2 linked regions of the Coturnix japonica genome follow. The protein of the gene in region 1 binds, or shares a complex with, the protein of each later gene. Links are inferred from orthologs where the notes say so. Each region holds a gene or a part of one and is shown on either strand. Other genes may lie near its edges. The genes, in order: PLEKHM1 and MAP1LC3C.

Region 1 (4,294 bases):
TAGCTGACCCATAGCCGCCCCATAGCCGCCCCATAGCTGCCCCACAGCTGACCCATAGCTGACCCATAGCTGACCCATAGCTGACCCATAGCTGACCCATAGCTGACCCATAGCTGACCCATAGCTGCCCCATAGCCGCCCCACACTGAGCCGTCCCCATTCCCCGCTGCTCTCAGGGCTCCGATCGCAGTAAGGACGATCCCCAGTGGCTGCGGGATCTTTACCTGCCCCTGAATGAGCTGCAGAAGGATTCGATCCAGCAGCTGTACCGGGAACCGGGGGACGAGGAGGAGGAGGATGAAGAGCTGCTCAATGGGGCCGGGCCAAAACGGGACGGGACGGCGGCCACAGCCGACCCCAAAGGCAGCAAAGGGGCTCCGTGATCCCACAGCCCCGATGGATCCACCCCATAGAGCCCCGGAATGGAGGGAGGGGCCATGGGGATCAGTGGGGGGGGATGTGCTGAGTTATGGGGTGGATGGAGCCGCTGGGTTTGATATTAAAGGATATTGGTGTTCTATGGGGTGTGTGTGATATGGGGGGATCTGTAAGGGGGTCTATAGGGTGTGCTATAGGGTGTGCTATGGGGTGTTCTATAGGGTGTGCTATGGGGTGTGCTATGGGGTGTGCTATAATAATAATATAGGGTGTGTGTTCTATAGGGTGTTCTATAGGGTGTAGCTACTAATTGGGTGTGCTATGGGGTGTTCTATGGGGTGTTCTATGGGGTGTTCTATGGGGTGCTCTATAGGGTGTGCTATAGGGTGTTCTATGGGGTGGTCTATGGGGTGTGCTATGGGGTGGTCTTTGGGGTGGTCTATAGGGTGTGCAATAGGGTGTGCTATAGGGTGTTCTATAGGGTTTTCTATAGGGTGTTCTATGGGGTGTGCTATAGGGTGATCTGTAGGGTGTTCTATGGGGTGCTCTATGGGGTGCTCTATAAGGTGTTCTGTTTATGTTGGGTGGGTCTCTATGGGTGTCTAAGCGGTGTTTCTATGGGTCGCGTCTATGGGTGATTAAGTGGGTTGCTATGGGGTGATTGATTCTATGGGGTGATTCTATGGGGTGATTCTATGGGGTGATTCTATGGGGTGAGTCTATGGGGTGTGCTATGGGGTGGTCTATAGGGTGTTCTGTTCTATGGGGTGTGCTATAGGGTGTTCTATGGGGTGGTCTATGGGGTGGTTTAATAGTTGGGGTGTGGCTATGTGTGTTCTCACTTATATGGGATTTCTATGGGTGTTCTATAGGGTATTCTATAGGGTATTCTATCTTAGGGGTGGTCTATATGGTGCTCTCTATGGTGTCCATGTGTCCATACACACTCAGCTCTATTTACACCCATCTCTCACCCACGTGCCCTTTTCCCGCCCAGAGCGCGCCAATTCTCTCTCAAGTTCCCGGCCCACTCTATGTTGGGAGTGGCCTCTCTTAGCATCGCCCCCTTTGCGTGATGACGTCACGAGGAGGCGGGGCTTACAGCCGCTACTTCCGGGTTTCCCGGCCGGGTCGTGGAGGCGGTGAGAGGGGGTGGTGGGGATGGGTAATGGGTAATGTGGATTGGGCGATGTGGATGGGATGGTGCATGGGTTGGGAAATTGGGGGCGATGTGGGCTGGGGATATGTTGGGTTTGCTGATGGGGTCCGGTGGGTGCTGGGCCGCAGTGGGGCTGCTATAGGCCCTATGGACCCATTAGTCACTATGGGGCTGCTATAGGCTCCTGGAGGCATTCTAGTCTGGTTTCTATGGGGGCTGCTTCTGGGTCTTCCTTGGATTCCCTATAACCAGAGTTGACATGGTTACACTTGGTCCTGGTGTTGGGTGTAGGTATGTGCCCATAAGGGAGAACTCGTCCCATAACAGGGCAGGACTAGCCATAAGGGCGGACTCGGCCATAACAGGTCGGACTGCTGGGCCATTAACAGGGAGGATCGGCATAATCAGGGGAGGTGACGCTCCTGCAGCACTTTGACACCTTTTGCATCAGCTGCTGGAAGGGGCTGGGATCGGAGCTGCTGCCCCACAGCTGTGGGGTGTTGTGGGATCTGTGGGGCAGGCTGAGCTCTCCTCCATCCCATCCCATATCCCATCATATCCGATCATCCCATATTATCCCATCCCAGTGCCCATCATCCAATATGGCCTTGTGGTGCTGCGATACACATCGGGCGTCGGTTTCGGAGTACCTCCGAGTCCTTTCGGGAGTGCAGAGATCCCATAGCCGGTTTGCCTACATGGTGTTCCTGTTTTTTCACGAGTAGCCATATGCGACAGGAATGTCCAGTGGTGTTTTTTTTCTTTCCTTATAATTTTACATTCATATAAAGGCATACTTGCTGTTGAAACTGGCGAGCCGGTTTATCTCTAGCTGAAGGGCCTGGTTCATGAAATTACACCTCTACGGTGGTGGGGGCCGGGGGGCTTCAAAGAGCTGACGAGTCAGTGACGAGCCCCTTCGCATTTACGGAGGAGGTATTACAACGAAAGCGGTGTTAACAGTTCGCCTGCCAGTTAATGGAGGGGGGGTCACATATGGCGGTGCAAGAGTAAGGATATAGCTTATATCACTTATTAGAAGCGTCACAGAGGTTAAACTGAGTTGAGCAGAATTTAACACACGACAAACAACACAAAAGATACGCACTGGTTACAATCCGCCAGGGGGACCGAATTGTAATGTCGGCCAGAATCTACTCTCACGCGCTATATCAGACTATCTGCGAAATGGTCTGAATCCCCCAGTAAACTTTGTGCGAGTCAGCAATGGAAAAACTTCCATTGATTCCGGCTTTTACGCCACCAGGAGCTTCTTGGCTGGGCTGGAGTCCTAGATAAATAAACATCTATATGAGACTCTCGAACATTCTCCTTCTCTTCTCGAGGCCCACAGATCGCCTCAAGGCCTCCTGGGGATCAGGCATTTTATCAAAAGGCGAGGTCCACAGAATAAACACTGGTGATAAGGTGGGGCAGTGAATTATAACACACGTGTCCCTTCGCCTGGAAAGTTAAAGGGGAGCCTCGCTCGAAATGGAGGCATGGAATTTTGTCCCTCTCGGCCTCCAATAAGGGCACGCACCAGTGTCTCCATCTGCTGCAGGATAGGAAATGGAGGATGGGGAGCTTGACTGGTAACCAAGGAATCTACAGCACGCACTCCTCATGGGCTGGGCACACACTCTACGACTTTCTCCGGCACCTAGGGTAAGATTGGAATATAGGAAAAGGGGAAAAGAAACACACGAACGCTAAAGTCCTTTTATTGGTAGATAAAGCCGAAGGGTTTGTCTGTTGTCCTTTCTCAAATAGAAACAGCCTTCCTGCTCTTAAAAGAAATTATGAAGCTTCTAAAATGGTTGGGGCATTCTAAATTTTCCAACTGGCATTAACAGGCTTGTGGAATCGCTTTGCGCATCTCCTAAAAGAGAATAAAAACAACAAGGGAAACCAATACCAAGGTTAAGGGTCTAGGGAAGCAGAAGATGGAGCCATCGATTACAACCACTACAGCTACATGGAATGTTATGTAGAGGCAGTTGTGTATCTTTACAATTTCTTGCAATGTTTGCGATCGCAGTCAGCAGAAATAATCAGATGAGCTGTACGCTACAATGTGTGCGCTCCATTGGTTGGGTTGCTGGACTGAATAGTCCCTGAAGAAATCACTGGGGGCGCATGCGGGCACAGGCGAAGGCAAGTGAGGAGAGTGCCCTGGGGGCAGAAGCGGCTGATGGTGGCGTATGACGTCAGGGTGTTCGTGTCCAGGCCTCAGCCTCGCTGCGTACTCTGGGGAAGGGCCCCTACATTACAGATGAATGTGTTCGTGGCCATGTGCAGCTGAAGGCAAAAGCCCTTTCTTAATACCGCAGTGACGAGTGTTGTGGGGGACGCTTCTGAGACTTTTCAGGTGGTTGTGCCATTAGTTTTACAGAACTGGCCAGCGGAAGGTCGTGCTAATGATTGGAAAAGTTACCGAGCAAGGATCACCTGGTCATACATGGATCCAACATCACTCACCAGCCCAAGACCAGGGTCCCTCGACGAAGCGTGTGTGAAGACCATTGTGCAAATGCCGTTGCTGGCTGGGTGTGTGGAGGGGCAGCGCTGATGGCATAAGGCTTTCTCTAGGAGCCTGGAGGCAGCAGCAGCTCCAACAGAGCTGGAGAGCTGTCGCTAGCAGGGACAAGTGTCAGCTATTGCAGAGGAATGCGGGACAGATGCCAAAGAATGCGGACAGATCTATCACAAGTACACGGTTGGCTGAGAAGAGGGTCAGCAAAGACTCTTCTTAGA
Region 2 (3,960 bases), on another chromosome or scaffold:
AGCAAGTAAAAAAAGAATAACAGTTACCTTTCTTCCTTGTGCTTCAGTATGGCACTCTGAGAAATCCATTCACTGCGCAGAAGTGCTTCACTAGTCCAATAATTACATGCAAGTGAGAAAAACTTCCAAGGGAAAGGAGAGAAGAAAGATCACATTCCACATGCAAGTCTGAATCTGGATAATTCGATGCTAGTGTAAGCACAGGTGCTATGCAGACACACAGATGACCTCCCTTGCTCTCTGCCTCCAGATGATGTAACGCAGGGCATCTGCTAACTGTGCTCACTTTTAGCTGCAGTAGGAATTAGAGCCACAGCCAAGAATTTCACTTGAAGTTCCGTTCTTCAGCTCCCTCCCTCTCTTGTCAGGTGCTCAGTTTTCTGTCAAACAGCTGCCTGTGAAGGCTAACATCCCTCTGGAAACAAGGTGCTGGTGGTTGTGTGGAACCAAGTCCAGGTGTTCCACATGCATCTCTGATAGGAGCCCTGGAGCTCTCCTGCACAGCTGGGGAGGCTTACCTTGGGGATGGGTCCCTTAGGGGCCGTGTTGACAGCACCAAAACTGGCCACAGCTCCCCTCCCAAGTCTGAGGCTCAGCAGCTCCTCAGAGCAACACACCCTGTCCTCTCTACATACTTCAGTTCGTTGTGCCATTTGGTGAGCTGTGCTGTGATGGTGTCATGGTTTTGTAATTTTGCTATCAGTATTCCACATCATAACATCATGTAAAGTATGGATAATTTTACTGAATGTTCAGCTCACAGAAGAAGACTACATATCCCAGAGGACATCATGGTCAGGGATAAGTCACGGGACCAGGACACTATATAATCTCACTCCCAGGCTGGACTTGCTCTTCACCAGACTTTTATAAACCCCCTTACCAGGGAGAAACATCCCTTGCTTCACAGTCACACCTTATTCCTGAGATGGCCGTCAGGCAGTACGTACACTTGTGAACAACTTTTGTCAAGGATAAAGCACAGGAGGAGTACATTTTGTCAACAATGTGACAAATGCCTTCGGAGCTCATAAGAACTGCAGCCACTGCCAGCAAACCAGACACTGATAAGCCACTTTCTCACAAACAAGGTCACATATCTCATCAGAATTATGGTGCTGTTGCTCTCTTTTGTTTTGTTTCAATATAAAATACTAAAAACAGTTGTATTACTTTCATGTATGAACCATGTTATGTATTTTATGAGGGCTGCCCTGAAAGTAATGCTTCATACTATGTGATGCTGTCCCACGATGTCAGAGGCAGACATTGGAGGTATGGCAGCAGAGGTTGAATCCTAATATTCGTTACACGTTGTAGCTGTGTGACAGATGGCAGCAGAGGGGCAGTTTGACAGAACGGCGTCTGGCATGGAAGTGTGCGTGAAGCAAAAGCAAGGCTGGGCAGCGCTGGGATGGATGCTGGGATGGATGCTGGGATGGATACTTCCAAGGCAACTCCCAAATGCGAAGCAGCCCGCCCGCCACACGCCGCCCCTCGGGGCGGTGCCGGACCGGCCCATAAGAGGCGCGGCGCGGGGCGGCGGCCTCAGGCGGCGGGATGCAGGCGGGTCCCGGGGTGCAGCCGGTGCGGCCCTTCAAGCTGCGCAAGAGTCTGGGTATGGTTATGGGGATGGGACGGTACGGTGCTCTCTCTCTCTACGTTACAACGTAACGCTTGTGCTCTCTCCCGCGCAGCCACCCGGCGGGAGGAGGTGGCCGGCATCAGGGCCAAGTTCCCCACAAAGATCCCGGTAATTCGCTGCTCCGCGGGCGGGGGCTCCCGGCTTCTGCCTTGAGTATTTTGGAAGGAGGGGAACGGAACGTCGCTGGGGCTTCTAAGTGACTCTAATTAAAAACAGGTAATCGTTGAGAGGTACCAGAAGGAGAAATACCTTCCCCTGTTGGACAAAACTAAGTTTCTCGTCCCCGAGGAGCTGACCATGACGCAGTTCATCACCATCATCAGGTAAGGGCCGCGCACTACCGCGTGAGAGGGGCCTGGGGCGGCCTCCCCCAGCGGGAGCTGATAGGGAAGAGCTCGGGGCTCCCGAGGTCCCTCTTCCCCCTCACTGGCGGATAAAGGCGGCGCGAGGCTGCTGCTCTGCTCCCGTTCTGCCTGGTTCTGGGCTGTGCTCTGCATCCAACTGCTGCTGCCCTGCTGCTCCTGTTGCACTTACAGGTTGCCCAAACCTGTGGCAGCTCCATCCCGGGTGTTCTTTACAAATACACTGGCAAAGAGGTCTCCTAAAGGGGGGCGTTCTGTGCAGGGGTGCTGGGGAATTGTAAGGCAATTTTTTGTCAGTGACAAAAAGTGCGTGGAAGCCATGTTTCCAGTTATTAACTTATGTAGAAGATACTTTTGTCAGCCAGTCTTCATGTGTAAAGTCTCTGAGTGAGACTCCTCTGAAGGTGGGCAGGCCTTAAGTTTAACAGGCTGTGCTGAAATTCCCTATTGTAGCTACACTCAGCACTTCTTGGGAATGGGCAGCCCCAGGCTCAGGCTTGGTAGCAGCTACAGTCCTGCAGCTTAAGCCTTTCCCTGGAGCAAGCTTCCTGTTTCTGAGTACAGTTAACTTTCTGATGGAAATATTAAACTAAGCAACGTCTTCGTGCATAAACTATGTACAAGAAATGCTGCAACTATTCTGCTTAATGTATTTTATAGACTAAGGTTGAAACCTTAAATTTGCTAATGCTTGGTCCTTTGTTTCCTTTTCCCTCTTCATTCAGAAGCAGGATGGCTCTGACTGCTACACAAGCTTTCTACCTGCTGGTGAACAACAAGAGCTTAGCGAGTATGTCTTTGACCATGGCAGAGGTGTACAGGGACTACAAGGATGAAGATGGCTTCGTGTACATGACATATGCTTCCCAGGAGATGTTCGGATGCTGCTCACTCACCTTAGGGAAAACTATGGAATGCCACCATAAAACCTAATGCTGGGGTCTATATGCTGCAGCTAAGCCACTGTGCTGTGAATCATGCATGTGACATGAGACTCGGAGATGCTCCCTCCAGTATGAGCTCTTGAGCTCTGTACTGCGGAGTTATGATCCAAAAGCTGGCAGGACCGGCTCAAGGCAGAGATGGTGGTACACTTTTCCATGGATGATAATTTAGATGTATATTTTTATACTTGGAAGGCACTGTGGGGTTTCTTTTTTGTTGTTGTTGTTTTGGAACTGCACCTCCACTTTTTGCAATACCGATCTTGTGATGTAACTGCTTTTTAAGGTGTTGCTTAAGAATAAAATAAAGAAGCTTTTAAGTACTAGGTTGAATGTCAGTTTTAATTTGGGGAGAGACTTCCTGGGAAAAGGTCCTAGAATGATTCTGGCTCCAGGCTTCTGGAGTGGAGTGTTGCTTGCACAGCCACTCATTCAATTTCACAATGAGATAACAAAACTCAAGCCTGCTCATGCAGCAGTAGGCTCATACCTACAAACAGTTCATTCATTGAAGTACCTGAGTAGCAGGGTTGCATCAGTGCTAGAATAGGGGTCAGTGTTCTGCTCTTTCTATTGAATTCTGCTAGTCTGGTCTGTAGGCAAGCTGGTCATCCCTTTCACCTACAGGCACCTGCACAGCTCTTCTGCTGAGGGACTTCAGTGAGCCTTGCCTCAAGTGTGGGTGTTTGTGCTGTACCTTACAGAGGTATGTCAGCGTATCTGGAAAATGTCAAAACTATCATGTAGTGACATGCTGATACATTTATTGTACAAGCTTCCTGAAAATGAATTGGAAGAAACTCTTGACAGGAGGTTCAAGCTGAAGTGCAGCTTTCTAATATATCAGGAATGTGTCAGAAAGTTGTAAATGTTCAGTTTGTGCATAATCGGAATACCAGGTTATGTAAAAATCTGTTGCAGCGTGCAGTTAACCTTCAGAAGCCTCAGCTTAGGATAATGAATATAACAATTTGACTATTTGTTATGTATAAACTATTGCATCATAATG

What was found.
Region 2: the proteins of PLEKHM1 (region 1) and MAP1LC3C are in contact, whole or in part, in a crystal structure (PDB 5DPW), measured with the Homo sapiens proteins. The link is inferred for Coturnix japonica from reciprocal best matches to the Homo sapiens genes PLEKHM1 and MAP1LC3C. Residues at the interface, in NP_055613.1 of Homo sapiens: Glu632, Asp633, Glu634, Trp635, Val636, Asn637, Val638, Gln639, Tyr640; in NP_001004343.1 of Homo sapiens: Phe13, Arg16, Lys17, Glu25, Ile29, Phe33, Lys36, Pro38, Asp54, Lys55, Thr56, Lys57, Phe58, Leu59, Val60, Pro61, Glu63, Leu64, Ile72, Arg76, Phe114.

The regions. Positions count from the first base shown.
Region 1 is NC_029542.1:1,138,107-1,142,400, reverse strand, and holds the start of PLEKHM1 (pleckstrin homology domain-containing family M member 1), read left to right. Parts: upstream 1-1,438; 5' UTR 1,439-1,520; intron 1,521-4,294. Other genes in the region: leucine-rich repeat-containing protein 37A-like, read left to right, coding at 177-383. UniProt on the Homo sapiens protein: Acts as a multivalent adapter protein that regulates Rab7-dependent and HOPS complex-dependent fusion events in the endolysosomal system and couples autophagic and the endocytic trafficking pathways.
Region 2 is NC_029518.1:32,120,360-32,124,319, forward strand, and holds MAP1LC3C (microtubule-associated proteins 1A/1B light chain 3C), read left to right. Parts: upstream 1-1,504; 5' UTR 1,505-1,560; coding exon 1,561-1,618; intron 1,619-1,697; coding exon 1,698-1,753; intron 1,754-1,861; coding exon 1,862-1,968; intron 1,969-2,732; coding exon 2,733-2,940; 3' UTR 2,941-3,277; downstream 3,278-3,960.